Linked DNA regions of Lepisosteus oculatus. The protein of the gene in region 1 binds, or shares a complex with, the protein of each later gene. Links are inferred from orthologs where the notes say so. Each region holds a gene or a part of one and is shown on either strand. Other genes may lie near its edges.

The links.
Region 2: polr2k (region 1) and gtf2h5 share a complex: the UniProt entries of both Homo sapiens proteins name them as parts of the TBP-based Pol II pre-initiation complex. The link is inferred for Lepisosteus oculatus from reciprocal best matches to the Homo sapiens genes POLR2K and GTF2H5.
Region 3: polr2k (region 1) and taf1a share a complex: the UniProt entries of both Homo sapiens proteins name them as parts of the pol I pre-initiation complex. The link is inferred for Lepisosteus oculatus from reciprocal best matches to the Homo sapiens genes POLR2K and TAF1A.
Region 4: polr2k (region 1) and taf1c share a complex: the UniProt entries of both Homo sapiens proteins name them as parts of the pol I pre-initiation complex. The link is inferred for Lepisosteus oculatus from reciprocal best matches to the Homo sapiens genes POLR2K and TAF1C.

Annotation. Positions count from the first base shown.
Region 1 is NC_090705.1:8,620,575-8,628,700, reverse strand, and holds the start of polr2k (DNA-directed RNA polymerases I, II, and III subunit RPABC4), read right to left. Parts: upstream 3,116-8,126; 5' UTR 3,112-3,115; intron 2,534-3,111; coding exon of another isoform or gene 2,330-2,533; intron 1-2,329. Other genes in the region: intermembrane lipid transfer protein VPS13B, read right to left, coding at 2,330-2,533. UniProt on the Homo sapiens protein: DNA-dependent RNA polymerase catalyzes the transcription of DNA into RNA using the four ribonucleoside triphosphates as substrates.
Region 2 is NC_090697.1:48,833,653-48,841,292, reverse strand, and holds gtf2h5 (general transcription factor IIH subunit 5), read right to left. Parts: upstream 3,062-7,640; 5' UTR 2,956-3,061; intron 2,269-2,955; 5' UTR 2,224-2,268; coding exon 2,189-2,223; intron 1,488-2,188; coding exon 1,307-1,487; 3' UTR 686-1,306; downstream 1-685. Other genes in the region: protein SERAC1, read right to left, coding at 5,251-5,387, 5,584-5,727, 6,147-6,329. UniProt on the Homo sapiens protein: Component of the general transcription and DNA repair factor IIH (TFIIH) core complex, which is involved in general and transcription-coupled nucleotide excision repair (NER) of damaged DNA and, when complexed to CAK, in RNA transcription by RNA polymerase II.
Region 3 is NC_090697.1:42,661,955-42,670,121, forward strand, and holds the start of taf1a (TATA box-binding protein-associated factor RNA polymerase I subunit A), read right to left. Parts: upstream 3,227-8,167; 5' UTR 3,176-3,226; coding exon 3,158-3,175; exon of another isoform or gene 3,034-3,157; intron 2,512-3,033; coding exon 2,484-2,511; intron 2,242-2,483; coding exon 2,113-2,241; intron 1,983-2,112; coding exon 1,813-1,982; intron 102-1,812; coding exon 1-101. Other genes in the region: mia3 (transport and Golgi organization protein 1 homolog), read left to right, coding at 6,442-6,562. UniProt on the Homo sapiens protein: Component of the transcription factor SL1/TIF-IB complex, which is involved in the assembly of the PIC (pre-initiation complex) during RNA polymerase I-dependent transcription.
Region 4 is NC_090698.1:66,526,388-66,534,260, forward strand, and holds the start of taf1c (TATA box-binding protein-associated factor, RNA polymerase I, subunit C), read left to right. Parts: upstream 1-4,624; 5' UTR 4,625-5,024; coding exon 5,025-5,177; intron 5,178-6,185; coding exon 6,186-6,294; intron 6,295-6,957; coding exon 6,958-7,010; intron 7,011-7,506; coding exon 7,507-7,602; intron 7,603-7,873. UniProt on the Homo sapiens protein: Component of the transcription factor SL1/TIF-IB complex, which is involved in the assembly of the PIC (pre-initiation complex) during RNA polymerase I-dependent transcription.

The DNA.
Region 1 (8,126 bases):
GGGAATGTACAACCTATAGTTCAGTATGAAGTAATACTTGAAACTCAAAAGAACATACTGTACTTCAGGTTATATTGCATGATATGCAGTATCATGGCTTTTTAAATAATTGGGAACCTGTGTTTCCAGGCAAAATAAAGCTCGTGCCGATATAAACAGGTGATATCAGATCTGCAATAGACAAAGACTCTCATTTCAGACTGGTGACGATGGAACCAAATCACAGCACCTTTAACGCAATGTTCTCCCAGAGCCAGGTACAAACAAGGCAGTGCAGTATAAAATATAGCAGGTTAATTAATGATAATCTCACAACGTACTACCTACTATGAACATTTTCTGAAAATATAAAAGGATATCATGTCTTGTCTGGGATAATTCCTTAAAAGTGATTTCGGAGGACAGATGAGCACCCCAGCACCTTTGATACAGAAATGTGGTTCTTGATCTCCCTCGCTATGGAGGTCATAACTAGTTAAATAACAAGTCTTTGCTGTACAGTCAGAGCTACTGAAAAGGGAACAAAATGACAGAATGTGGCTGAATTCCTAAAAATGATACAAAGCTCAAATCCTGAAAGAGTTCAAACAGAAGACCCAGTGTCTCTTGGCTGACGTCCACAGTAAACTGCACAGTGTATGTGATTGCAGTGTGACAGTCGTACCAGTACTCCTCAACACTAAAAGCAGGTAGGAGAAGCCTCTTGCTTTCCATCTGCCTGATTCATGATGGTAAGTGTTCCCGCAACTAAAAAATGATGTGACCTAAAAAGCACTTTGTCAAAATCAAGCTCATGTTGCTTTTACAGAGCGCTACATTCTTTAGAGGCTACTTTCAGTCAACAGAGAACAAATTTGAAATTCTTTTCTTTGTGATTTTTGGGCCTGTTCCTTTTCAAAACAAGAGCTAAAATCGCATAAGCCAAACAGGCCATTAAACTTGCTTGTTTTAGCTCCCTGTTCCAAATTTTCAGAAGCAAAGATTGAAAAAATGCTTCTTGAAAATGATATATTATGGTGAATAAACTTGATTTGTGTTTAAAGTTGACCTGCAAAATGACTTTAGAAAAAATGGATTGTTGAATATACAGTACGAGTGCTGAATCAGATTTTTTTTTTAAAAAGATGAGCTTGACTTTGTTTGACAAGCCTGAGAACCATCAGAGGCAGCTGAGACATCTTAGCTGTAGGAAAGGAGGTGGAATTCTGGTGCTGGAGGGCTTTCATTCCATCTCTTCTCTTAATGACCTAAATTATTGGCTCAATTGGACCAATTTATCCACTTGAGGTGCCGAAACCTACAAAACCTGCAGGCACACCATCCCTCCAGGACCAGGACTGGACACCTTTGCTGCAGGGTAATACACTGGCTTAGGCAAAATTAAACATGATGGATTTCTGTATGTATGCAGCATTATTCAGATTTATACACAACTTAAATAAATTCTTAACAAGCAATAATATCTGGAAGAATGGTAAAAAACCCTCAGAGCTGCCAGGCCCTCACAGCCCAATACAGGAAGTGCCCAGTCAGTGTAATCCCTGCCAGAGGAGGATTTACAAAATACTCTTTTCAGGAGTGTGAATAAATGTGATTCTTGTGTTTTCTGGAATTCCTGTGACAAGTGACATTTGTGACAAGTATGCCTTTGAACTGTGCAAAACTACCGTGCTTACAACACAACTTTTTTAGTTTAGAACTCTTTTAAAAACAATACACTGAATATACAGGCACTGAAAGGTTAACCATATGTTGAGCATTTAACCCCATGAAAATATCTCGCATGAAATTTAAAATGAAGAAGGCTACTTCTATTGACATTTCGCAGCCCAACTTCATTTTGATACTGCTGACAATAGAAAAGGTCAAGTGGCAAACAACCCTGCTAGAAAAGGAGAGTACCATGCACTGCTTATATGAATAAATCTGAACTGTATTAATTAAATAATGTTTGCCCCATGCTGTTGTCATGCTAGAAGAATTGTGGATTAGAATGTAAGGATGGTTACAAACAACAGGAGGCCACTCAGCCCAGCTAACCCAATGCTCCCTGTAGTTAAACGATGCTAGGATGTCATCCAGCTGTTTCTGGTAAAAACAAAACACAGAGCATTGGCAGAGTAGTGTCTGGGTGGCCGGATCCAGACCTTCATCCACTTAGCATGAGCATTACCATCATGAGCCTGCACAAGGGGACCGAGCCGGCCGGCTCTCTCTTTCTCCCTCGCTCCCCCGGATTGGGCCCTGCGCGTTTGAAAAGCGGACGGACGCGGGCCTGACGCGAGGCCTGGGACCCCTCCCCGGCAGAAAAACGCCAGACCGGCGTTACCTGCTGGCCATGTTCCACTCCAGCGCCGGGTTCTGTGAGCTCCGCTCGCTCTCCGCGGGAGCGCCCCCCTTCGCCCCCTCCTTCTCGGGCTTCAGGTGCTCCCACCGGGCCGTGCCGATATTGATGGACTGCAGATCGACCTGGTACTGCCGGTCTTCCACCTCCGACCCCGGGTCCCGCAAGATCCCCAGATTCGAAGCCCTCCTACAAACAGGAAACACACGGAGAAATCGTTCTTTCATTGGCACGGGGGATGGCTTTTCTTCAGCTCAGCGATTCTTAGTTTAAAACCCGGCCTTGTATTTTTTTTTAATTGGAAGGACATCAGATTGGAAATATGGAAATAATTGGAAATGCTCTACTCGAATGATTTTATTATTTTAATGAAAACAACGTTTGCTTTGACAAATGAATTTATTGTCCCTTCTACTGTATCTTCTTGTACTTTCTCAAGATAGCCCTATCTAGCATTACCGGTGATCAGATCTCGCAGCTGCCACTTCTGCTGTGTGTGATCGATGTTACATACTGTACATCCCCAGCGCGTTTAGTTTCTCTCTATTAGGCTAGGAAATTCTCAAGCAGCTGCCATTTGATGATGTCCCAATCACTAGATCTGCTGTCGATAGGAAAACCACAGTGACATAGAATGACTTACAACTTACAATGAAATCTCACTTAAAACTAGTTGTTGCACACTTGAAGCGCCCAGATTTTATGATAACTGGTTACAGTATCTGTTATGAGACATTCAAAAGTAGCACATTCAAAAGCAATGTGTCACAATTAACACTAATTTGAGATGAGGCACTCACTTCTGAAGTTTGCTAGCACAAAAACAGCAGGAGCAGACTTGCTTCTACTTATAAACTTTTTACTTAATTTGTTGTTTTTTAAAAATTTTTTACAGGGAACCCCACATCCTTTATGAAACCAACTAGAACTGACAATTTTATTCAATTTCATCCTGAAGCATATTAACAGCGCACGTACTGTACTTCGTTACAGATACTATAAAGAGATGTTCTGGCAAAAAGAATTGGCAAGTTCTGTTAGCTGTATGTTTTTTATTCACTTTCAGTCAAGCAGGTTTATTACCAAATTAAAATTCTGGAAAAACAATATGTTGATAAATAACATGACCCTGGCAAAGCAGGAAGAAAATAAATAAAATGACCTTCAGGTAAAACAGTTTGCCTCTTAAAAGCTCTGATTTATGCCAAGTTATAATTAGTGGTAAATACTCCAGTTGACTTAGCTGGATTGTGCAGTAGTTTTAAGCCTTCTTGAAGGACTGAAATGAGAACAGTTTGTTTACAAATTTGAAATCCATGAAATCCTGTAATACGTCAGAAAATGCCTCTCAGTGCTAAGTGATCTGCTCTTAAAATTCCTCCCTAAGAGATTAAACACACTCAATGATGTCATTTATTTTGCTTTGGAAGACAAGATGCTGTTGAACACATGAACTAAATTTACATCTGCAGATGACATCAGGGCTTACAGTTATGATATGTTTATTTGTCCTGGTGAATTCAAATACATTTTTATACTGTAAACAGAGGCTCAAAATGGCAACAGATGTTAGGACAGCACGAGTAGTTCTTTTTGTTTGAGCAATTATCAGTGGTCATTTTTCGTATATTGTTTCTTCATTCAGTAACACACAGCAAGCGTTTAACCCACAGAAATGTTACAAAAAACACAAACACAGCCGACACTAAAAGTCTGAGATGCACTCGATTTTCAAACAAACTTTTACTGGAGCGGTCTGAGCGCAGTACCTTGCTCGTGGTTTCAACAGCTGTGTCTCAACTGGGATTTGAACCCACGACCTTCCAGTTCAGAGTCCAGAACCCTAACCACTCCTCCACATTGCGGGATTTTAGCTGAAAAGACCTAGGGGTGCTCTGATCCCTTTAATGTTTCACATTCCACTTTAGACAATAAGAAAAGGTACAAATGAGAGCAGGCTATTCTGTACATCAAGCATTGGCTTTGAAAAAAAAACAACAATGATAATAACAAGCAGTATATTAAACATGCACATGATGACTAAAGCAAATAACGTAGTGTTCCAATATGCCAATCTGGCTTGTTCCTGAGCCAAACCTTTTTCTTTTAATTGGAGAAGAGACCACAAAAACATTACATTTATGACAAAATTCTGCTATTTATAAAACTAGATCAAAAGCAAGTCAAGAAGAAAGCTTTGTTTCTTAGCAATGTAGTCATTTTATTAAGCATTTCTTTGCAAAATCTAAAACCGTTAACTCCTAAAAGCCACAGAAATGCCTTTTTTGGGTCCAAGGTTTTAGTTTAAAAAATGCTAAATAGTGTGTTCCCATGCCAAAGTCTTAAAACTGTTACTTTATTTGACTAGCATTTCATGCACAAACAGTAATTTATTTAATCATAGGAAGGTGTCACACTCTCATGAGATAAAAGCTGTCCAATGTGTGATGGGAAAGGAGAGCTCTGTTTTCTTTGGTTTCCATACTGAAGGCACAGGGTAAAATCTCAGCTACTGCAGGATCCCAGCAGCAGCTCTGATGAGCAACCAGGTACAGTAACTCTACACGATCTCCAGACACCAAGGACACTTCTCCACTCCTTGTGGATTTGGAGCAACATTTCGTAGCTAGTAGATGCACCAGTAGGAAATTCCTCAACAAATCACAAAATCTCAATCAGAAAAAAAAACCAAGATGAAAACAAAACTTGGTATTGTAAATTTTCCCTAATATATACAGAAATGCAAATTCAGACCTCCTGCATACTATTGTTGAAAGAGATGACAGAGGAGAAAACACATTGTTTGCCCAGAAACTGAAATGCTCGCAGGACTAAATAAACAAACTAAACAATATGTCATAAAATATCTCAATAAATTAGTAGGCGGGCAATTTCCAAGTCGCAATTCTGTAGGAGGATAAAGGAAAAGCCACAGTAGTTAGTGAATAAAAGCAAGTTCCTAATTTACCACAGGAGGTTGCATAATGAGAAGGAAACAAAACAGCTCTTTTTCAGATGACAAAGTTCTGGGCAAGCCTTTGTACAGATGCCAGCGTTGGTGCTTTAGTAACACCTGCGCTGGCAAAAAAAAACACTTTATCTTGCATTGTGCTGACTGATGACAGCACTCTAGGCAGATGCACAAACTTAACTTGGTAAACCAACGGAATCGGACGTCATCTGCTATATTTGAGGTGATCTGCTGTATATGTTAAAGCAATGGGTAGCATCTGGATTGCTGGTGGCACAAAGGCAGAATGGAGCAGAGACCTTGAGCACCCAGCTCTGACACTGTGAAAGGCACTCTTTACTCAGGAGTGGATGTACAGTATTCTCACTGGGCGGCCCAGACTAAATTCTGTGCATTAGGTCTTTTCATCTGTCAGTCCACAACTCAGAGGAGGTCGCAGAAGGAACTGCACTTCAGCCCTTTTCATTCTACCTGTTAACAACTCACACTCAGCATGCCTGATAAACTATGGCAATCAATACTACCGACAGCCCTGTAAAGTACTTCTGAAGAGATAAGTTTTGACTTCTCTCTGCTGTGATCCAACTGTGAACCAGCTGCTATTTCAGAGTGGGGCCTCCTGTTTTTTTTTCTTGCTGCATTTTCTGAGGCAGAAAAGGTTAAATGTGGTTCAAGGTAATAAAATAAACCATTCTGAGATGTGCACCAAAGATCTCAAAGTCCAGGGCAGGCTTATCTCAGTGCTGTTGGCTATTGAGTGTGTGCTAAGAACTGCAGTTTTCAGTCAGCAAGAGGCCCTGAAAGCAGAACCTGGTAGTGCCCTGATAATACTGGGGCTGAATATTTATTTTTTTCATCATGTGGAGTCTGATTTCTTTACCAAACCTTAAAACTTTTTTTGCATGTTCCAAATATTCTAAAAAAATTCAAGGCACAATGTGCATTTGTGAGTGTTTAGCGGTTTTTTACACATTTTGCACACGATGTACATGTCTTTCTGAACTGTATTGGTTTTACATAAAAGCTGAACACTTTATGAAAAGTGTTCATGCTGTTGTGTACACAGTAACTGTTTACAATGTCCAGAAAAACAAGGATTTAGAGTCTTTGAAATTACATTGCACTTACTGTATTTAACTTTACACATTTCTTTTCATTCTATTTTTATTGTTGATTTTTCTTGAAAGATTCAGATTTACATTAAGAAATAACCATGCCGTGTGAAAATCAGCCACTATGCTGTTCTTTGAAAACAAGATGTTTCAAGCGCAGTCATTCATGGGACTTGTCTGCTGTTTCATTTGCATGCAAGCCTCATAAACTACATCTCCTCCTGCAGGCCTAGAACAAGCCTTTCATCTCCCTTCCATCTTACTGAGAACATAAGGGTTGGATCACGCTCTCACGGATTTATTAAAGGGAGGGAATTCATAAAAATATAATTCATGAATGTTGCAATTACTCAGTAAGTTTAAAACCCAAACTGATGGTGGTCCATTCTAAACTGCCTAAGTACTGTGACTTTGAGTAGCAACATTACTGAGATTTATTGGTTCAGTCAACTCCAATTACTCCTAATTTGCATCTAAAAGCATTGCAATTAGGTCTCTGAATTGGAACACCAAGTAGTCATTTAAACCCAACAGGAAAATAACATTATCAGAATTTAACGAGTCGATGAGATTTGTTTTTCAAAAAAAAATAATTAGGGTCATGTTCGCAAGGTTTTGCTCCACTCTACTATATAAGAAGTGGGGTTTTTTATCTCCTGAAAAAAGAATGGCCATCAAAGAAACAAAACAGAGGTCTGAAATGAGAACAGCATATTCATTCAGCATATCTCGCATGAGGGTTTTACGCCAGTATTAGATCAAAAGCATCAGCAAAATCTAATCCATGAAACAAACTGATGTGGACATTAAAAGAACAAAAACGGTTTTGTTCATTATATATTTAATATATTTTTAATGTGCAGATTGCCAGATGTCAAGACACCTTCCTCCTTAAACAGCATTTCAGAAATAGCATTTCTAAAGAAGCAGCTAAATACCTTATGGAACGGGAACCAATACCCTCCTGAAGCATCACAGCAAGGTTTTTCACTAAACCCAACGACATCACCATCATCCAGTGCTACACCCCCAACAAACAGAAAGACACCATCCTCTTAACAGGTAATGTCATTGCCAACTCTGGACAGGACAACAGTGGCCATGAATAAATCGTGGGCAAGCGTGCTCTTGGAGTAATACGTGAAAATGGAGAGGAATTCAGTGATTTTTGTGTATTTTATTGGAGGGTCTGTCTTCCCTCTCAAGACAATGCAAAAGGCCACACGGGCATTCCCAGACTGCAGGGCCGAAAACCGGACAGATCACATCTGCACCGGTGAAAGATTCAGGAGATCCCTACTAGGTGTTAGGGAGGGAAGAGGAGCCGACACAGTATCGCCTCCTAGCAGCAGTAAAGCCCAGGCTCAAACTCAAGAAAGTTATGGGACCAGTCACAAAAAACAGGAAGGCCAAGAAACAGCCGGAGAAGGACCATGCTGGCCAACCTGAAAGAAACAAGAACATCATGGAGGGTGACGGAGCGACCAGCGCACCACCAAGCCTGCTGGAAACCATTTGTGGATGACCTATGTTCCCCAAAGAGCAAAAGATTTAAGAGGCAGCTCTGTATGGGACCTCAGCCCTCGGCTCTGTTCAATCCCATTGATTCTCCTCAGCAGGACTGCCAGTTTGACCCAAGCTGTTCTGTGGCTCTTTGTTTTGAATAAAAGATTTTAGGCTTGTCACTTTACTCAGCTGC
Region 2 (7,640 bases), on another chromosome or scaffold:
CTAGAAAACCTCTTTTATATAGTACAACTATAACAAATGCCTTCAGCTTGCACATGCTGTGTATGCTCTGATAGGAGTTGTATGCAGGAAACCACATCAGATCCATCAAAATTGTTCATGGGAAAACATCTCCTGGTTCCATATGACACACAGTGCACCAGAGCACATGCACATGAGTTACAGCCCAACACAGCTACGGAAATAAAATAATGTCTAGCAAAAAAAAATCCCGAACTACAGGAGATGAATGTGTAGGTTTTATCCTATTTATGGAATCTAGTGAAGTATTTGTAAATATTTTCATATTAAAACGTAAACTACCTGAAAAAATATAACCTTTTCTAGAATGTTTAAATGTTTGTGGACCTAGTCAACATTTCTCCAGTTAATATAAAATAAACTTTTTTTTTTCACAAGAGCATCAAGTTTTCTTTTATCAGAACAGCAGATTACAATGATTCCCCAGCCATCCAGCTACTATAATGGTGGATGTTCATGATCAACTACTATAATCAGTATTTGTTAAATATAGTACCTAGGATATTTTCACCACAAGTGACAAAAGAAGAAATAAATATTATTCATGTTTTAGATATTGATTTCAAATGCATTTTCATGATCTCTCATACCATAATTTAAGCAACCCCACATCTGATTGCAGTAAATTCATTTTGAATCAACTACATAACACAAGAGTTGTCTTTAATGCACTGTTAAGAAAACAATTAACCACTGCCCCACAATATGTAGAAAAGTCAATACACTATTTCAAGCATGCAACATGTTGAATAACATTTGTAGATTCAGTGTAACTGGTTGTGGTCTTCTCAATTTTTCAATATATGAACTTTTTACTTTAAATTAAAAACTATAAATTCTAATCCCACAATTCTTTTTAGTTGGGCACACATTTTGGTATGTAGTAAATAAGAATGTGAATTCATTAAGAACCAACTAAATAATGCACAGTTGTCCTTTAATGCATTGCCAAGAAAACTGAAAGCCCTTGAACATCTAAATATTAACTGAACCCCAAAATATGTGGGACAATGCTTCCTCCATTACAGCAATCAAGGATTTTTCTTTATTCCTGAAACAAAATTTTACCATCCCCAAATATTTACAATTTCACTTTTACAATATCTGAGGTATACCTTTATAATTTGTATGAGTTGTACAATGAAAAAAAATACAAAAGTTCATATTATAATGTGGACACATTGTATACTGTAGAGCACACTTAATAAAACAAGGGTGTAAGTTGTTTGTGCTGAACATGGTCTTCCATTTACATCTCCATGTTGCTTTATTTCTGAGTAATAGGAAACGAGTTCTGGTCCATTAACTCTCCCACTCTCTCCTGTAGGATTTGAACTACTTCTGCTAAAATGAAGACGTGCGTGTCATCCAGGTCTTGAATGATGAATTTCTTCCCCAGAGCAGAAGTTTCATCCAAATACAGAAGAAACTGCTTCATGGCAGGATCACTACATTAAAACAAATACAAATACAAATACACATTTTAGAAAATGCAGGAATCTGACAACATACAGAGTGACTCTGTAAAAGTACTTGCTTTCTTTGAAGATTTTAGGTTACCTGTGTTTAGTTTTCTTCTCCTAAAATATTATAGATCAATAGTTGAAAACATTAGTAATATGATTTTACAATCTTGGACATTTTCTTATTATTGTACTGTATGTTTAAATTGTCACTACACACAAACAGCTTTTTAGCAGCTGCAGTTCACATGGAGCTCAGAATAGGAATGAGAAATGCCTGGATTTCATGAGTAAATTTCAAACAGTAAAAGTTGCCCAATGCACATTTAATGACAATTAGCCTATATCATTATTACACAATACTACAATTTGAAGCAAAATTATTGGAGACCCATTAACTGCAAATGCATCACCTCACTTAACCTCATTTCTTTTAAAAAATGGTTTTACTAAAAGCATTACAAATATTTATCCTACTACCTCATTAAATATCCTGAGCATAGCATCCTTAAGTTGAACACTAAAGTATCTTGAGAATGACTACAATCGATAAAATCCAAATTTTAGCCACAGAAATAAGATAAAAAGCAAAGTGTTTTAAACTCTTTAAAATTTATTTTACAAATAAGGAAGTAAAGGCACAGGGATATTTTTGAAATACAGGTAAGTTCTTTTGATGTACATACCATTCAACAAGAACTCCTTTCATAACATTCACCATTTTTCTACTTGTAGCTGTCCCACCTCAGAGACTCGTGATATGCACCTAGAGAAAGGTAAGTTGAAAACCAGGATAACTCTACAGTATCAATGATATGAAATAATGACCTCGTGTTCATTGTTCTGTACTGCCGTTATATATTACTGTGCTTTGTTGTACTGTCATGTTATCATTTACTATACTGTGAAGTACTGTGCACACTATGTGAAAATGTTGTCTTTTGTACTGTACTCGTCCCGAGAAAACCGAGCGAAAACGAATCCTAATGTACATATGGCGAATAAACTCCTCTCTCACACACACTTATGCATTTTAATGGTTATGCATGCATTCTTTTCGAAATTTATAACACATACAAACATGGTAATTGTTGTATCAGAGGAATTAATTATAAACAGCATTTAGATTAACTAACGCCATTAAAAACACCATCATTACTATTGAACAACCTATTTGTGTGGGTTTTACTACCAATACTAATGCACAGTATTAGACTGAAATACTTCTAGACATGCCAAAGAGCACAATGAGCTGCTGTATAGCTACGTGTAAAGGTTGTTAGTCAAGTTTCGTAAAAGCTTCACTGGAGCTGGATTATTTCTTTAATTATAATACAAAAATACACAGTCCTAAAGGCGTGCTAAGCAGAAATGCTAAACGATTTAGCTGTACTAAAGTTCCGTAAATAGTTTTTTTTTTTAATATCGAGAGGGTGAATAAGTGAAAACTCACCTCTGTAAAGCTACAAATCTCTAAATTTCAAAGCAGTGTACCCGTGCGTTTGCTAATATAACAGCAGCCGGTTACTTAAAAACAACCATGCGAAAAGCATTGTGGTACAGGATTTGTGGACGGAAAGCTAAACAGGACAAGATAGACTGCATTTAAAGGCGCAGTACACAACCCATTGAAATTGTCATGACCGTTTTGCCTGGTTTCGCGTAAGAAAAGGAACTTTGTTAAATTCTTCTGTTTCAAGAAGTAGTCTCAAGCTTTTATCTTCGAAAGGAATACTTAACGTTTCTCTTTTTAAAATTGTCTTTATCTCTCCACATTAACAATGCCATATGACATTGACATTCTCCGGATAAACCTCAGGTTCTTTAAGTACACCGTCGAGCCTTAAAAGACCTTAAAATTGGATTGCATCTTCTTTATTTACTATTTGAACTATGCTGCGATCTCTGAAAGTATTTTAACAACAAAGTTAAACCTTTGATTATTTGTTTCTATTTGTGATCGTGAGATTAATATGAATAAATAAAATGTTATTTTGGGTGCATGCATAACATGATATTCATTATATCAAAACATATCTAAAACATATTTTGTGTTCATCCAAGTGATCATAAGTATTGTCATATACACAATAAGCACTTTTTAGAATGTGAAAGTCAGTAGTTTTTTTTACATCTTAGAATGTGCCATCATTTGAGATGCGTACCTGCGGCCAAAGTAAATTCCTGGCTAACATTATCAAGTAATCTTTAACAACCAAGTAGTCAGGAAATTAGTTCAGTGTCTTATCTGGAGGGCAACATTACATACAGCTGTTTCCCTGGTCACCATGTTGGGGTGCGGCAGGTTTGGAAACTTTGGTACAGAGGATTGACATCTTATCCATTAACACCACTTACAGCAGCAAACTGTTTTCCTTGGAGACTGGCCATCCACTACAGATCATACCGTGGTGTGTAATCAATGGATCCACAGCATCCTAGTAGATTACTAGAGAGGATCTTTGGTGTGTTTTTGGTACACTGTAGAAGAGCAGTGTCCTTACAGATCTATACAAGTATACCAGTTTTCACAACACATGCTAACGAAGTCACAGTGGGTATTATTATTATTATTAATTATAATTCAAATCCTTACTTTAAGCATTAATATTATACACATTGATAATCTCACCCACAAAGTGTGTGGGGAGGGGTTGTTGGCCTTCTCTTGTTAAACAGCCTATATCTTTGTGTAAGGGGCTTGTTGTCTCATTTATTGGTGGATTTTCATAAAACAAAGTTTCAATTATATTATAAAATAACAGAGAGACATAGTCAATAGATCATTCAAAATTAATCTTATCTGCAAATACAGACAGGAAATGTTTACGGATGATGTTCACATAGTATATACTGTAATTGGAACGGCTTTCACAGGATTCCATGTAAGTAGGTACAAGGCAGACATTTAAAGAATAAGAATATTCTAAAGGAGAAAGCAACATTAAGAGACAAAGTATTAATAACCACACAGTTAATGTTAAAAGTTAATAACCACACAACTCCCAAAATGTAAATACAAATGCAAAAAATGTTTTAATAATATGGCATTCAAATATCATGTGATATTCTTTGAATATAAAGTGCAATGGAATTATACTTCTGAATATTTATTTGAGATCTGGTACCAGGGTTTGTAAACATGGGTTAAATATATTTCTTATCATTTATAATAATAATTTATTTAGTTTTTCCGCAATGCAAATTAATTTGCATTTCTGTGCAATGACATTTTAAGATTATTCATGAATAATCTATTTTACAACAGAAACAGTAAACTTAGTATCTTTTACAAATATTTAGTTCATGTAAAAGTAAAGACCTTCTATAATAAAAAATATACAGTATATATCACCTGAAGATTATAACTTTTATGTTCTTGTACACAGACCACTGCTCTATTTTTCCTGCTCAATGAAACAGTAAACTCTTGGTAATTTATGTATCCATGTCTGAGGCTTAATTAACACTGACATATACAGTATGCTATTAAAAATGCAAACACTACAAAACTCTTAGTTTCTTTTCCTTTGTTATCAAACTTTCATAACATGCAGTATGTTCTGTTGAATACTAATGTTATAGATCTGCTTTCAGTAACAAAATATTACGAAATCTTTATACATATGCAATATGGCAAAATAATGTCAGGTTTTTAAAAGCTGGATTTGAGTTTTAATTTTAGGATATGAACACTTGGGGAAGGTGCTTTCAATATATTGTCCGTATTGACAGTAATACGTTTTTATTAATTGTTAATGTGGCTTTCCAGTGCATCTCTGATGAACTGTAAACTGCGCTTGTAAAGGAAAGAATCCTTTTTCTGGGGTTTGCAGATATTTAGATGATCGACATCCACTTGAATGAGGTCGCCAATCCCCAGATCTGAAAAATTAATGGTAAACATGATTAAACGTTACATCAAAAATAATCAAGTGCTACGGTTTCCTGAACAAATGAAAAGAAATTCACAATATACAATCCCATGTGTTTTGGCTTGTGCTGCTTAATTTAAGTTATTATTAATTTCCCTTAATATACTGTATCTATTTTACCTCCCCGCAGGAGCCTAAGCACATACCTGCAGACTGCACTGGCACGACATGCATCTTCACCATAGGACCGATGCTGGTGGGTAGTGTTTCTGCAAAGCTTAGTATCTTGAACTTCCTTTCCTTGGCCATGCACAGAAAGCGTTCATTTAGTTCATTAAGTGCAGGGGAATCTGAAAAATGTGAAAAGATGTATTATGGATAGAAAAATGGTCATGTTTACTTAGAATTAAAATGGAATTGAAATTCCATTATCTTAGAATTAAAATATGCCACTGAGATGCTGTAAACATGGCTTTGACATATTAAAAGGTAATTTCCGTGTTTCTAACAACAGAAAGGTGTTCCCCTTTTAAAACATCAAACGTTTTCAACAGCTAGCAGTTGAGAGAATAACACATAAATCGTTACTATTAGTCTTAGGAAAAAAAACAACCAGGGCAGTGTTTGCATACATCATAACAAGAGGCATGCAGTATGTTTTATACTTCTTGGCACTGTGAAAATATTAAACCTAAAAAACTAACTTGACTAAATCCAATCATAAAACAAAGTGAATAAAAACTTTACCGAAAACTTTAAGTGATCTTACCTTTGGAGAGCTCCTTGACTTCTACCGAAGGAAACAGCAAATATTTGACAGTGACTGAATACTCAGCAATAGAGGTTCCATGATGAGGAACACTATAGAACATGATTCCTTGTGTATTTTTAATTAAGGACTGCATGTCAGGGTCCTTTAAGGCATCAAGGAGCATCTGTTTGACCAGCAAACCTGTGAATATAAGGAAAAACATCTAAGGTTGAAAGAGAAACTTCTAAATTCAAACTTGTAAAATCAAACAGATTCAGTTTGAACATGCCATCCATACAGTAAAGGGTAGGAGATGCCCAGTTCAAAATAAATGATTCTTTTTACTTTACTTCCTTATGTTCTATTCTTTGGAGGAGAGGTTAAGTGCAAGGCCTATCATAAGTGTCATTGCAGGAGTAGCATAATTCATCCTGTAGTCTCTGTAAGTTGCCTTGCACCTTGTCATGGAAGAGAAAAAGTCCCCAGAAACTGGAAATTCTTTGATTAAAAGCATACTGTATAAGATATAAAAACTGTAAAACAGACCTTAAGCTAAATTACATCTAGTGATGCACTTATCATAAGCTAAGAGGAAATAAATCCTAAGAAGTCCTATGACACCAGCAGGAAGGATTCTCAATACCACATGTTGCATGACTTATCAGTACTGTATGTGTGGGGTGATTGTTCATGATCTTAGGAGATGCTGGCCAGCCCAGTTGGACCCCTACACGACCTTGCATGAAGCAGACACCTAAGAGTTATGACACCTTTCCCTAGGATTCTTTCACACGACCTACGCGTGTTTGTAGCACTCACTACTTTTCAACTGAGAAGATAATTCTAACATGTCATGTTAGATGGTGTCTGGATGCAGATCTTATACAGTATAAAATTAAAAAATTGTGCCACATAGGCTTTGGATGCTACATATGTAGGTGAAAATTGGAGAACCTTTTTCTGGATTATATACTCAAGAAGGTGAGGATCTGGGGTAAAATTTGGAGAAATATAGTTGACATAATATCTTGTAGATATGCTGTAAAAGGAGAGATTTATCTGTTTGGTTGTATTTCTATGGAAAGCAAAGTGTTACCATTTGTTACCTAACTGATTTGACACAAAAACACAAAATTCTTGACCAGTCTTGACATTTTACTGGTCTCACATTTATTCTGATAGATGATAGCACTTGCCCCCATCATTCCAGCTGTTAAGCAGCACTTGCTGGCAAGGTCTCCAGCCTAAACTCTAACTGATCATGTCCAGGTCATATGAAATCATGCAATTGCCATTTATGTTGTTCAATTATGGATTCCAGATGAGCTCCAATTTGTTTTAGTATAGGAATGCAAATATCTTCTTAAGCAAATATTCTGACATATGATCAACTACATGGTACTGCAGAATTTTACTGATGCTACAGGTTACCAGACATGATGTTGTCAATTAACTGATTCACATATGAGGTGTTTAGTATATTTTGGTGAATTGACTGCAGCTGTTATGGAT
Region 3 (8,167 bases), on another chromosome or scaffold:
TTCACTCCAATGTTTTTCAGTCTCTCCAGGAAAGAATTGAAATCCTCCAGTTTAGCATTAGGAAGGTGATGCAGAATTTCTGAGCCCATCCTCCAGATTACCTGAAAAATATTAGCAAAATCTGATAAACATTTTGGCACAATCGGTCTAAAACACGTTGATATGACATTTTATTTGCTTCCATTTTATTTAGCAGTGGTTTTCTACAACACAAACCGCTAAATCCATGACAAGGGTGTGAAAACCTGTTTCATAAAATGATTGCACCCCAAAAGAATCATACTCGGCCCGACTTCAAATTTATTTTCAAAAAGTCATTCCCTGTGAAGGGGTAAGACATAACTACCCAGAGTCAAATGATTTTTTAGAAACGACAGCAGAATACCTGTTACCAGTAAAGAGTATGTGAAATTGTATAGGGCAAGTTACTCTACTGGTGACTCTGAATACTGTCATAAATATAATGTTTTAGCTGCAATAATGCTTTTTCAGCAAAGAGCATGTAACGCAAACCATGACCAAATGCATCTCCCTAGCAGGTAAACTTGTACAGGTCCCATTACATCATTTGTTTTCCTTATACATTTAATCCCTCAACATTAATATGGCAACCTTATTTCAATAGTAGGGATTTTTATTAAACACTCTTGTAATAAAATAATAAACGCACTCATCAAAAACAACTCTTTTCCTTCAAGGATATTCTCCAACTTTTAATGTGAAAAAAAGTATAATTTCACTTTATTGGTACAGTTCTTTTACCTTCTTTCAGGGAGGCTGAGGACTAAACTGAGATGAAAGCATGTGTAGTATACTTGTGTTCAGACATCCACCACATTGGGTCACACAGTTCCTTTAGTGGACTCAGCACTGATCAGAGGAGTGTTGCAGCTCTCATGGACAACACAGAACGTTCACATGAGCCCAGCAAGCTAAAGGGGTCGATGTTGTACGTTGTATGACATTTTATCTGTGTGCCATGACCAACTCATGTCCACCTAGCCCCGGTAGTGCCAGGATAATCATGCCCTACTTTTTAAGAGAATCTCAGTCACCGAACAAAATGAGACACCAGTGGTTTGAACGAGCAATGACCTTTTTAGGGTTCAAACTGAATGCACCTTTAGTGGACCTGAGAGCACTTTTTGTTTTTAAAAGGGGAACACTGCGATGCTATTTTTATATTTTGGGGGTTAGAAAGAATCAGCATTGATGAGTGCATTTCAAACCACAATGAAAGTAAAATGTACACAGTAATGTGTAAAACCTGCAATTTACATCATAAAATAGATTACATTTCCAGCTATGCTCAATGTCTTGTTCTACAATTCAGAACGAGGCAACCAAACTTCCACTGAGGCATAGCAGCCCTATGACTTTGTAAACAAACAAGCTTGTGAATACATCTCTTGTAATCCAACAGAAATATTGCTCTCAACCTTGAGAAGGTTTTGCCAACAAATACTACTTTTTTGTTAACTCTGCATGCAGATCACGTTGGAACATTTCTGCAGTGAAATGTCCGCTACACAGCCTGTACTTATTCACTCATTAGTCATTACAGTGACTAGTGAGCAGGAAGGGCCACCTCATATCTCAATCTGCACTCTTGCCTGTGCCAAGAGCACGGGTTTGTGACTATATGACGACTATACAGTACTTTCACAAAGCTCACCAGTTTTTGCTTAATTCGGAATTTGTAACATTTTATTATACCAGCAATTATTTTTTTGTTACATAGATATAATAACTAGTCTACAAAATTGTGAACGCAGTTCTTCTTTAAATTAGTGCAGTCACGGCCACACTCACTTCAGGTGATACAGTCTGCTTCCGAACAGTTGTGTCTTCCAGCGTTTCAAAGTAATTCTTCATGTATTCTGCAGCCTCTTCCCAACGGTGCTTGAAAAGAGCTTCCTGAATTTTGGTCAGGCATATTCTGGAGCTTTTGTGAAAACCAGTCTCTCTCCTTGGCAACGTTTCTAAAGGAGGAAACACAAATCCTTTTTACTTCCAAGAATGAATACAAAACAGCCTTTCAATTATTTTCGGTAAGCCGATAGGATAAAGGCTTGGGCACTGCTTTAAAACAGTGAATATTGAAGATCTTACCTTTGAAACTGTGCAATAGAGGCAAATGAGGTCGTCCTCCTATTTCAGGACTACAAATCTGCTGTTCATCGTCTAAACTGTCCTGCTGGTCAGACTGGGATAATTCAGCACATAGGTCATCCATGTCTCCTAAAAAGAAAAAGGATATGACATGTTCCTGTTGTGAACAGCTAAAAATGACAGGTGAACTCTTCTACTTTATAAGGTTTTCAAGCAAACTGTTAAGAGGGATTAAGAGGCTCATACATAGTTTGACATAAAGTGTTACATTTAATTATAGCACTTAAAACGTCTTTGCAGCCCTCAGTAGGGCTTTTTATCTCGTTAAAAAAGGAAAATATTAAGATTTAAGGAATCCATGATAGCAGTACCTTGCTTTATGTTCCATACTGAATTCCTCTGAAAAAGATTTTCACATATTGATCAGAAAAAACATCACTAAATCGAAGATGATCACGCATACAAATAACATTAAAACGTCTGTCCTATTTGCATATTATGTAAGTTACTTTGTATACTAATGATTTTCCTCACCAGAACCCTGTTGAAGAACCAGTAACATCCATGCCAATTTCTAAGGTTTAGTTATAAGGTCAGTTTTTTAAAACGTTTTGGACAACACTTCTTATTCGATTGCATTTGCTTAAGCACGACCTAAAACGCAATTTACATTTCCTGATACGAAGTGTATTAAAGGCTATACAAAACACCGGAAATACAGTTTATGATAGAGGAGGCTTTCGTATTGTTTTCATGAAGTGTTTGAAAGCTGTATCGTCTGTTCTTAATTCAGCTCACTTCCGAAAGTAAGAAGCACACGGTAATCCACCTTCCCAGTGTTACGACTTTAAAAAACTTCAAACGCGTAAAAGAAACATTTATCTGAAATCACAACATTAAACATAATTCAGACAACCAAACCTGCTTGATAAAACGTCTTCGTTCATGTTCCAATTATAAAAAATGACATAAATTGGTTTCTTGACTATTGAAACGATATTATGTTCATTTTGCACGAAAAAACGACTTAATCGTATTTTAGTACATTTTGATCACCACACATGTAGACTCCAGGACCTCCCAAATTTGACAGTGCGCATGCCCACGGAAAACAGCAACATGGTCTACGTCATGGACGACGACTCTGACTCTAAAGCAGAGTTCCTATAGCGCAGAAACCTGCAGCAGTGTATCTGCGCAGACCTAGAGCATAATGTTGTACTATTGTGGTAGCCTGATCTGACAGTAAACGTTATTTGGACCTTCTGGTACAAACATGTATTTGATTTCTTAAGCTTTTATTAAACACCTTATGATACAACCAAAGCAGAAAAGGTATCGAAAAAGACAAGTGAAGAAAAATAATTAATCATCAACAATACGCTGCCAGAAGGAATTACAAATCAGAAAACAATAAATTATTTTTTTTGGTTTTGTGAATATATCGACCCAATATTACTAATTATGTATAACAAATTAATTAAAACTAAATATTATTTTATATGCTATGTTACAAATTATAAATCTAACACGCAGTTTTATATTCAATTCAGTTCAAAATACTTTAGTTATTATGAAAGTAACAATGTGCAATGTTTAAGAAGGTATTAAACTATTTGCACATTTGTAGAGTAGGGTGTTATCCAATTGACGTCATAGTGATAAAATTTCTTTACATTCATTGTTTACAAGCCTGGTGGCCTCTGGAGCAAACCAAACTTTTATTTTGTCTTGTGCTGTGGACAGCACGAAGGCAAAAGTTCAAAAGACTGATGAAAGACCTGAGATGAGCCTTCACTGATGTCACAGGCCTTCCTCAGGATCTGATGGACACAATGCTATGCCAGAGGTCTTAAAGGCTGTCCAATGATTTCTAAGCTGAGGTTTGCAACATTTTGAAGGTGTTTTTTGCCTCTTTGACTGAGTGAATTGAATCTACGGTTAAATGAAAAAGTTAAAATACTTTTGATATAAAAGCTATATATGGAAGCCCGTTTCCGCCAGGGAGTAAAAAAAACGGAAACGGGCTTCCATATATAATACCTTTAACATGCTGATAGAATTCTTTTCTGGATTCTGTGGAACTGTTTTCTCAAAACATATAAGTAAAAATAATAATAATTGCTTACACTTATATAGCGCTTTTCTGGACACTCCACTCAAAACGCTTTACAGTTAATGGGTCTCCTCTCCACCACCACCAATGTGCAACATCCACCTGGATGATGCAACAGCAGCCATAGTGCGCCAGAACGCTCACCACACATCAGCGATCAGTGGGGAGGAGAGCAGAGTAATGGAGCCAATTCATAGAGGGGGATTATTAGGAGGCCATGATTGCTAAGGGCCAATGGAAAATGGAAATTTGGCCAGGATGCCGGGGTTACACCCCTACTCTTTTCGAGAAATGCCCTGGCATTTTTAATGACCACAGAGTCAGGACCTCGGTTTTAGGTCTCATCCGAAGGATGGCGGCTGTTTACAGAATAGTGTCCCCGTCACTTTACTGGGGCATTAGGACTCACACGGACCACAGGGTGAACGCACCCTGCTGGCCCCACTAACACCTCTTCCAGCAGCAACCTTAGTTTTTCCCAAGAGGTCTCCCATCCAGGTACATATATATACTTGTGTTCTGTGAGACTGGAAAGGAAACATGTTTGTTATTTGTTGTTTTGGTTGTTTTAAGTGCTTCACAATGCTTCACAATGACATCAGTGATCTCAGGGAACTTAAGTTTTTCCTCAAACACCTCAAACCCAGATATTTGTAACTGTGAACTATACCAACTGATTCACCATGGATGGTTGTGGGAATGCCAGTGCTTTGTTTGTTTTTTAGATCAACCATTATTCTGTTTTTGACACAATAATCTCAAGGTAAGAAGGATCACACCAGTTGACAAATTCATCCAGAATGGGTCCATGTGTTTGTCCAGGCTCTGAAAGAAGAGAAACAGCAAACCTGATACAATGATTTTCATAGTTGCTCTGACAGTCATCAGTATATAAAATGAAAAGGGGGAGAAAGAACGCACCCTTATGGTGGATTAGTAGAAGTACAGAGTCAGATACCAACACATTAATAAGTACATTTTGTGTACTTAGTCAGAAAACTAGGATTTAATTTGAACGGTGAAATCAGCGTTTCAACCAAAATATGTGACTGCATTGTATTAAAGGCTGATTAAATATCAGCAAATAGAAGGTGCCTAACGATAAATGCTTAATGATACATTTTTGCAAATCTAATCAAAACAACAAATAACAAACGTGTTTCCTTTCCAGTCTCACAGAACACATATATATATATATCATGTTGTTCATGTTTAATTCTAGAAAGTGTTAGTTTAACATGAAAAAACCTATTAACAATTCTAAATGTTGTTTTTTGTTTTCCTTGTTTGCACTGGGATATCTATCAGGGGGTTTTTGGACTAATTCCCCATTAGTATTTTCAAATACTGCATTCAAGAGGGATATACAGCGAGAAATAAATCTGTGCTCGATTTCCTTGACAAAATCACGAGAAATAGAAAAATACAGCCTCAGAGATGTTCCTCACATGGAAATGGCCTATTTTGACTGTTAGGTCACCTCTATTGTGTTGTAAACATTATATTTTTGCTTCCACAAGCGTGGTAATCCATAGAAATTCCTAAACCTCAACAGAAAAACAATCACAAGGATTTGCATGAAAATATACAATTCATACTAGAATGTGGATAATTTAGACATAAGGTGTATAACTCCCTCGTCGGTACGCAGTTTCACCCTACATTAAGATATATAAACGTTTAGCTAGGAATTATTTTATGCTACATCTTTTAAAATTGTATTTAAACACTTTGTGTTCTTAATCATAATTTATGTATGTCTGAGAGAATACAACAGCATAACTCCCCAACTTCTCCAGACTGCGCTTGGGGTAGGATTGTGACGCAGATAACTAGAAACTTCTCTCTAGAAATGGCCGATTACAGGGCGGAGGGGAGCTCCCTTTTCATTTTGGTAGTTAAAAAAACACTGCAGATCTGTTTAGCTTTCCCGAAGAACTGTTCTTTCTAGTTACTATTAAATTTGTCTCTAGAGAAAAAGGCAACACCTTGCGTTTTTATAATCAAAATTCTGTTAAAGACACGGAGAAAATAAGCTCATGGCTCTTTAAATAAAACTCCTCATGGGTTTAGTTTTAGTAACTTGACTCCGATCCTTTTCCACATCCTCCTCGTACATCCTGCATCCCCAATTCTCAGAGACCTGCGGATCTGCTGACGTGTCGGCCGGTTCTGCTCATGCTCGGGCAGTCGACTAGCAGTAGCTTGCCAGCATGGCTGCTGTCGTTGTGGATTTGTACCTCCTAGTGATACTTTTTATTGTAACGGGATCCGAAAAGGCAGTAGATAAAAGGTTTTCGGACATAAAGCGATGTAACGACGACGAATGTAGCAGTAAGTTTTGCCATTTTTTCTTTTCGCTTTCATACGACAGGACTGTGTCGATGCGTTGCTAGAAAAAAAAGATGCCCTGGCCAGCCGGCATCTGCTTTGACCTGTTGGCACTTCAGACGGAAAGCTCTCAGAGAGACCCAACACACACTGCCCTAGTGCAAGTTGAATATAAATATATTTTTTGTGATACGTATTTGTCAGGTGAATCACCGGTGACTTGTGATAACATTCTCTGCAATTTTACGTTTGGGAAGCATCTTAATGATACCCGCTGAATTATGTATGCATATATTTTTCTTACAGCCTATTGGAAAATTGTAACTTAAGCACGGTTCAGTGCAATTTTGTTAGAAAGGTCATTAATTCTTGTTAAAGGCGCTCTTGGTGTTAAGTATGATGAGGGGGAATTGCTGTATGCTTCAGTAGTAACGTACATGTCCTGAGCTCAGATTTTGACTTATGGGTAGAAAATACTGTTTTGTGGTTTTAACGCATTGGTTTGTGGTATATTGATATTACTAACGATGCAATGTTTTGGTTTATTATTGTATTTTTGTTGTCAGCATCAAAAATCCCTATAGAAATAAACAAAATATGGTCAATAATTTTAAAATGACTGGCACCGTTTCCAAACCTATCACTTTCACCGAGCAGGATACTCTGCGCAATTTCCATTGTTCGGGGTAAACATTCAGAATGACCAGATACCGTTGTTACCAAAAGGGCAGTGTTAAACGAGGATAGACTGGAATGTGACTAAATTGAATGGTTAATATTTTTGCTGCTTTTTCTCATGTTTCCTGCAGTCCTTTTGGCACAATCCACACTTAATCTATAGATAGAAAGTTCTAAGGATAGTCACGTTCCTTAGTCGCCAAATTGACATTATCACGACAGTATTTGTCAAAGTAATTGCTGCCATGTTACAGTAAATATAGGCAGAGAATAGCACTAGTTCTTAATCTGTGCACAACATTGCAGAGGTATTTTATCAATGCATGATGTTATTTTCTCTATGTCTCATATAAAAGCAGTTGACAGGCTTTGAACATAGTGTGGTAAGACAGAAATGTACACTAATTCTGAGAGTACTTGCTGAAAATCTGATTCTGTTTTGGTTTTGCAACTTATTGCCATTAATTCTTGAAGCCTCAGGCTAGTAGATTCAACATATACAAACAGGAGCATTAAGTTAATCTTGTTATATGATTTAGGCCTCTTAAGGTTTTTTTTGCTTATGTACAGTTATACAGTACCTAGTCAAAGATTCACTTTTTTCAGACTGCATTGTGTATTCCTTGTTACATATTTGTTGACTATAGCTCTCTGTTTTCCTGATTTCACTTTTAACTACTGTAAAATTCATTTATGGCTTCCTGTTCTTATCACTGGAAGAGTTGTCCCACCAGCTCAAATTACACTTAACCGAGTGTCTCCTGTGTTATGAATGATAAGACAGGAATCTATGTGTTAAACACTTTTCCGTACATATATTTAATCGTAATGGAGAGAATGCCTTTGATATTACTTCTATGCCTCGCACATTAGATTACTTTTTGTATACAACGGTTTCCCCCGTATAGTTTTTAATGTTTTATCTTAAGA
Region 4 (7,873 bases), on another chromosome or scaffold:
GCCAATACTGGTGATGTTAAATAAAGCTCTATATTACACCCAAATGCAGTAAATTTCCACTCCTAGAGTAGTAGGACTAATAAAAACAAGATTCTGATTGGCGTTTCATCCAATCACGATTTGATAGGCGTGTCGTCCCGACTGAGTCTGACATAAACCTTTTCCTCAGCCTCCAAACTGGAAAACAACCGATGTCAAATAACCGTGAATTCTGAATCTCAGAGATCACCCACGAAGGCTCGTTATTACGCCCATCAATAAAGAAGGTTTTACCAACTGTTCTCCACTCCTCCGCAATAACCTTCGCGTTGTTAACAATAGTGGCTTACATCTGTTCTAACGGTGAAATATTTCCCCAGTCAGCCCCTGACATCCAGTAGATCAGCTAAAAAAATACAATTTTTTCAATTTCTCCGCAAGTAAAGGGGAGGGTTCATTTACCATACCGATCATAAACATCTTTACAGTATGAAAAAAGGATTGCACGAGCTAATTAATATCGCTATGAAGCAAATGAAATCCAACAGCACAGAGAGCTACCATTTTTTCACATCATAAATTAATATATATACACATCCAGACTAAAAGAATTTCTAAATTCTACTTATTTCCAGCGATCACTGACTTAGTCAAACATCCAGGTAAAACGATGTGCTTACAAAGTGAGAAGCCATAATCTCGCGTATTTACTTCTCAATAAAAAGAATACTAAGTGTTTACGTTAACAAGTGGGAATATCAGCTCTAATGGGTTTTTTAAAACAAAAAACTTTTTTTGAATCATTAAAACTTTCCGACGTCAATTCAGTCTCTTTAGATATCATGCAAGCGGAATGTAAGGACGTTGTATGCAAAATATTAATATATTCCCAAGACTTTAGTTTTTTTTTATGAGTTATATCGCAAGTTGTAAAACTGCTCAAAACTTCTAAAATCATGCGATAGAAAACGCCTACATACGTTGAGGGAAACACGCTTAACTCAAACTCTCAGGTAAGAGCCAACCTGAAGAGCAATCATGAGCGCAGGGATGCGATTAAAACGAGACTTGAAAAAAACACTTACCAAATTCCTTTATATTTCGGTAGTTTGTTTCTTTTCTTCTTCTTTTTTTACGCTTCTTTTCGCCTTTCAACCCGTTGAACCATGTTAACGAGCAAGTCGTTTCCCCGTCACAAGCTAAGCGCAGGTTTCGGCTCACTCCCTTTCGCAAGCGTAATAATGGCTACCTTGTTCAGAAACTAGATAAACGGGTCGGCCGGGTTTTTGTTGTGTGGTAAACCTTTCGAATTAGGAGCAAACGACTTGAGACATTTTAGTCCTGGGCGAACACAAACATTTCTTTCTAACCGGTAGAAAAGGAAGAGTTACGGTCACGTGGCTGGGCAGGTAAAGGTGAGATAGGGCTCTATCATCCCATTCATAGCCAAATTGGAACAGTATTTGCATGAAGTGAAATTAGGACGTAACAAAACAGGGTTTGCACGGATACGAAACATAATATTCGTATATGTCTTTGACAAGTAGAGGTCATCTTTAAAAATGCAAAGTGTTTCGATTTTTTTACACTGCGTATAGTATTAATTTCGTCCCTCCTTTTTGAATCTGTACCTCTTAATTTAGTGACTTGCTAGATTATTTTACGTTTGTTTTAGTAACAGGTGGAGCATAACCGAAGAACGCAGCGTTTTCCCCTTATGATCTGCTATTGGTCCCCATTGATCATTTTTTATTTTATTTTATGCAGCTTTATAGCCAAAGATAATCCTCAGAATCATGAATTCACTTGCTCCTGCTGAGCTCCCAGTTGTAGGTTGTTTGATTTTGCATTTGTCGGTAAGTGTATAACAACATATGCTTCCTAAATTACAAATTGTTATGTGGTCACATGTACATTCTGCTGTTCTGGGTGACTTTCAGTCTGAAAAAGGTTACTTTTTTGGGAGCTGGGACATTGAGTTCCCTGTATAGGAAGGAGAAGCTTGTATACAATTAATTAAGACAATTAAAGGTTGTGTAGTTATGGAACAGGTTACCCAGCCATGGTGTTGAAGCTGATATACCTTGGTTACTTTTAAGAAATGTCTTAACAAGTTCCTTGGCTCAATTAACTTCTAGCTACCAAATAGGTTAGATGGGTCACCTAGTCTCCTCTCTTTTGTAACCACACATACATTCTCATGTTTAAGGTAAAATAATAACAATTCCTTGCATTTACAGTATATGGCATGTTTTTTAATCCCTGAGGATCTCACAACTAGACATTGAATGAGATCCACTTCATGTACCAATGTAACACAGCACTGATGTAGGGGACAGGCAGCAGTCTACATGAGCCAGTACACAGCAGATCCGTTAGTGAAGAAATGCTTCAGCAATTGACCGAAGCCAGCAAGGCAACTTTAGAAAGGCCAGATTGAACACGCCCAGTGTGTAATGTGGCCTGAACACCAGGATTAGTATCTTTTCTCTATCATTAAGAGCCTTAGTGACCAAGTAGTCAGGACTTTGGATTTATGTACCATTCATACTGGGGTCCGGCTTGGAAAGAGTGCCACCTACTGGTCCAACATCGCCACTTACAGCAGCAACCTGTTATCCCACTACTGACCCAGCTAGATGCTTAACTTCATAGATCTGTGGCAGCTTGTGTGTCACCATATTTTAAATCAATATTACGATTCTAAAGTACCTTACAAAGAAAAGGAGGGCTTGATAATACTGTTACAAACTTGTCACAAATTTGTTACAAACAGTTTTATCAATCCTCCTATCTTTCTCATTCACTTAAAAGGTGGATTGATTTAAAGAACATGTGAGTCTCCTGCTCACATCAATTGATGATTCTTTGGAACATTTAAAGATTATTTTATTAAACCCTGTGACTCTCCATTCAGTGAATGGTTATTTATTGTTCTACAGTATATGCTTCAAGTAGATATGTGCACCATTGAATAATAATGAAACAGAACCCATACATTCAGGGCATAAGAGCACAGACCTTGGTAAAACACAGGCACAGGTGTGCCACCTTTATTACTGAAGGAGTAATAAACATAACAGGAGTAATACATAACAGGAAGGACTACAGCAAAAAAAAAAAAACATGTTTTTATTTATCCCTCTATCCTTTCACTGGGCGTAGAAACTCTGAGGGAGAGAAGAGATAAGATAAGATCACTTTATTGGCCATATACAATTTCTGGTATTAGGAATTTGTCTTTTCGCATGCACACACGGAGAGGGAGAGAAGCTGGGGGTCAGAGCACAGGGTCATCCATTTACAAGGCACCCCTAGAGCTAGTTTCTGTTTCCTGTCTCCTGAACAGGAGTCCCCTCGCCCATCCGCCTTCGGCAGGAGCGTCAGAACACGTGACTCGATGGGACAACCTGTTTGTGTTACTATCTGCCCCCTTCCTCCCAATCCCATGTCAGAGAGCCGTCGCCCGCCTTGAGTGGAGTTTCCATCTCGCTCTGGGGTCCTGCGGGTGGTCTCAGTGCAGCCCCACACCTGAGGGCTCAGCAGCCGGGTCCCCTCCCACACCGCCGCCAAGGGAGCCCCCAGTTTCTCGCGCTGCTGGCTGAAGCCGGAGCAGCGTGTCTGAAATGTGTGAGCCCTGAAAGTGGTGCCCTGTGCTCCACAGCTAGTGCCTCTCTCTCCGTTAAATTCCTCTCCTCTCCGCCGGTACAGTCGCGCCTCCTCCCTCTAGACTAGGGCAGCGACTGGCCCCATATTCCCCGGACACTGTGAGACAAAGCGGCATTTTAAAAGTGCCCTGACACCGAAATACATCATTGTGTAAACCGACCAATAGACTTTTACTGAATTGACCTTCACGCTTAATTATCAATCAGGGGCAGGGAATAAAATAGTTGTATATGATTCTTTTTTCTCAATAAAGAAGCGTCTATATCTTTTTTTAAAAAAAAATAATTTCAATCCACCCCGTCACCTGCAGAGACCCCTCTTTGAAAGTTGCTATTTGCATTTTCTTCGAATTGGGTCTTCATTGGCAAGGTTTGCCGATCACATTGATGGACCGACAGTGCAAATTACGATTATACTGTAGAACAGATGACCTAAGAAAAACTAATTAAAAAACTACCAGCTGGTGGAACGCATCGAGACAAATCGCCAACATTAAAAAAATGGACAGCTGTCGTTGATCAAATAAAACAGTTCTCCGCTGATACTCTTTACTCCACGACCAAACGAAAAAGAAGAAAAAAAAACAATTTAGTAAAAAGGATTGACGTTTAATTTACACCTTAGGCTACGTTTAAACCCCAGACTCCCAAATGTGGTGGCGCACCTACAGTACGCCTGAAACCGGGTTTAATGAAAGTTTTTTTTTTTTGCACTGGACTCTTGCCGGCTCAAGTTTCGCAGAGGCCAGGGTTATTTGCCTTGACAATAATCGCTGTTTTTTTTTCCAAATTTGGCAACAGCCGGTAACCGACGTACCGGTTAGTGATGGAAACGGTTTTAGTCAGTTCTATGTGTTGGCTGTACATGTCCCAAGATGTATTTGTGTTGTGTAAATGTCTGTAGACCTTTGTATTCGCCGTGTGCGCTTTGGCACCACTGTAACACTGCGGTCATGACAATAAAGCTGTTTGAATTTGAATGTAGTGGCGTCCCCCTTTTCCACTAAGCCTGAAGGGCCTTGGCGAGCTCCTTCTCCTCCGATTGGTTACCGGTCTCATCCAGGGGAAGGGCTCACTCTTTCCTCTCTCCACCCCCCAGTCCCCCCAGTTTGGCGTCAAAACAGACTCCTCCTGCCGCGTTGGCTTCCGTTTTCGGAGCCTTTCGTTTACAGGAACACGTGTGGCGCGTACGCGTTCTTGTTTCGGACTGATGGTGTCGGGAAATTAATTTAACAACCAACCAACAAAAACAAAAAACCCCGTCAGGTTTGTACCTAGTCGTGCAGCGCAGCGCGGAGCGGAAGGGAGACGCGCTCGCCTCGTTGCCCAGTGCTGGGGTTAAACGGGGCCGGTTTGACACATGGGTCGAGCCCAGACATGGCCGGGCGTACGGACAGTGCGTTTCCCCCGATGCTTTTCCCCCAGGCCTACAACACCGGGCCTCCGGGCAGGACCGCTGGCGTCCTGCCGGTTGTAGGCGGCTGGGGGGTCTACGGCCAGATCCGGGGAGTGGACCGTCTTGTGCCGGAGGTGAGTACTTCAGCTCCTGCGCTCGCAGATCGTCAGCAGCTCCTGCGCAGGAACCTGCCGCTTAAGAGCCTCGGATCGTTTTTGCACATGCAAATGCACAAAGAATCGTCTTGTTTTGGTGGGGTGTCGTTTCACCCTGCATGCTCGCCTAAGTGCTTGCTTGAGCAGAATGGGATGTATCGCCTTATTTTGCAAATATTTTGCAATAAGATCATGCAAAACCTTATGTTGCATTATCTGCCAGCTCGCTGGCTGGGAAAAAAAAAACTGTTTTGCCTGACCTAGAATAAAGTTAGTAATTTGATCCATTCGGTTATCTATATACGCGATACAAAAGTGGTATTTCATGACGGTGTTGGGAAGATTTCAAATGACGGGAGGCCGACGGTACATCGTTTCGTAACTTAACTCATTGATCAGGATGTCAACCAGTAGTGTCTTAAAGGCAGCGACGGGCTCGTCTTCAACAACGTGGCCGACAAACTGGTTCCGTACTCCCGCAGTCTTTTTGTTTTCTGTTTTCGTCTGGCAAGGCTGATTTTCAACAAGTCTTGTAGGGTTTGGTGCCTTTTTGAGGATTTTGAATACCTGTCTCGGGTCCCCTCAGAGTTAAGTAAGAGCCCAGAGCATTAGTTTTGGCAGTGTGTCTGCGGAGTTTGAACTCCAATTCTTTCAGCAATCTTTTTTTGGGGCGGAGCGGTGGCTCTGTGGCTAAGGATCTGCGCCTTTGCCTGGAAGGTTGCGGGTTCAAATCCCGCAGCCGGCAGGGCAATCTTACTCCGTTGGGCCCCTGAGCGAGGCCCTTCACCCCAACTGCTCCAGGGGCTCTGTACAATGGCAGTCCCTGCGCTCTGACCCCCAGCTTCTCTCCCTGTCCGTGTGTCTCATGGAGAGCAAGCTGGGCTATGCGAAAAGATGTAATGCAAGAAATTGTAAAAGGTTAATAAAGTGATGTTGTTGTTGTTGTTATAATTATTTTTTTTTTTTAACTTTGCCTGGTGTTTCCAGAATGCTGGCCTAGAGGGTAAGATCAAGATAGAAGCCCAACACAAAGTAAAAGGAGAGGAATGGAGGCCGACAGAGCCCATTGTATGTCCCTTGCTGCCCCCGAATTCAGGTAACTGGCCTAGTGTCATTTATCGTATCCTAATCTTTAACCTAATCCTTATAAATTTCTTTCTTCTACCCCCCTCTTAATGATCTCGTGGATAAAGGATTTCATTCCCAACAACACCGCTGTATGCTGTACTGTTCGTGCATTGATAAATAAACCTTGATTGATTGATCGATACTTTGCTTCGGACCATGCTGCAGGCGGTATTTCCTGTCTCCAGTGGGCGCACAATCGGTGGTCTTCCGTTCAAGCACAGTTGTTGGTAATCCGATCCAGTTACAGGCCCCCCCCTCTAGAAGTACTCAGACCCTTCCTTTGTCATGCCACTTGTGAAATAACAAAATGATGTGCACACTTTTTTTAACTTCTTCATTTTATTCCAAACCTGAATGGCTCAAAATGAAGAATTTTAAGGGTGAAAAAGAGTTACGGTAAATATCAGCAAAACCTAAAGAGGAATAAAAAACGGAGAAATATAGATTCTGGAAGTAAGAGAGGACAGAATTTGCTAGAAGGTTACAAGAAGAATACAATACATTCATACAGTAACAATTTACAAGATTATGCAATAAAAAAACCATAGACAAGGAAAAAACATCGGGAGGGGGTGGATTTACATATGTGTAGTATTTATCTGTTCTAATCACTTTTTTCCCCTCTCTTCAGATTGCAAGATTCCCTCATCAGCTAACTCTCATGCCTTAGACTTCCCAGAACATGTAAGTGGTGTTGCAAGTTATTTTAACATCTTGTGATTCTCTGAGAGTTTGGAAGTGAATTGAGTTGAAAGGCATGTTGGTTCCTGCTTACGGACACGAGGCTTCAGGAAAACCTCACCACGGAAAAATGTAAATGTTAGTAAATGGGTGCCCAGAGAATAACCTGGCATCTCATTTGTGCCTTTGTTTTTGAACAATGTGTTGGTGTTACACTTACAGTTTGAACCTGTCCAATATAGTTTTAATCCTCTTGAGTGCTTGAGAAGTAACTCTTCTAGATTCAAGCAAATACTAGTCAATTCTGATTGTATAGCACTAACTGATTCAGATTGAACATTGTAAGAGTACAGTACCCCGAGTTATGTTAAAATAGAGTTTGTATGATTGTAGATACTGAATGTATACTGTGAAACTATGGTTCATATTCTGGGGTTGAAAGAGTTGGTGTTGTTTTTTATTTATGTCTTAAAAGCTTTATTTCTGTCATTTCTTGAAGTTGCGGAATTTCTACCTGGATAACCATCAAGATGCCTTTGGGACTATGAGCCGTCTGTTAGATGAACACTTCTATTTTGGTTACGGTAATCTACAGGTATGGGAAGCTATATTGGTGGGGTTTTGTAAAGCGCAACGCTGTCTTTCAGTGCATTGAAACCATGGTTGTTGCCTAGTTGCTTTTTTAGAACAAATCTTGTTCAGTTAGTTCAGTTCTGGTCCTGTTGGTGTAGCTCTGAAGTCTAGGCCTCATTATTTACAGTTGGCTTCAGTGTGATTCTATACTATTGTGTGTGTATTTTGAATGTTTTGTGCTGTAAAATGGCGGCAAAAAATACAAAAAACATCACATTAAGTTTGTTTTTTGA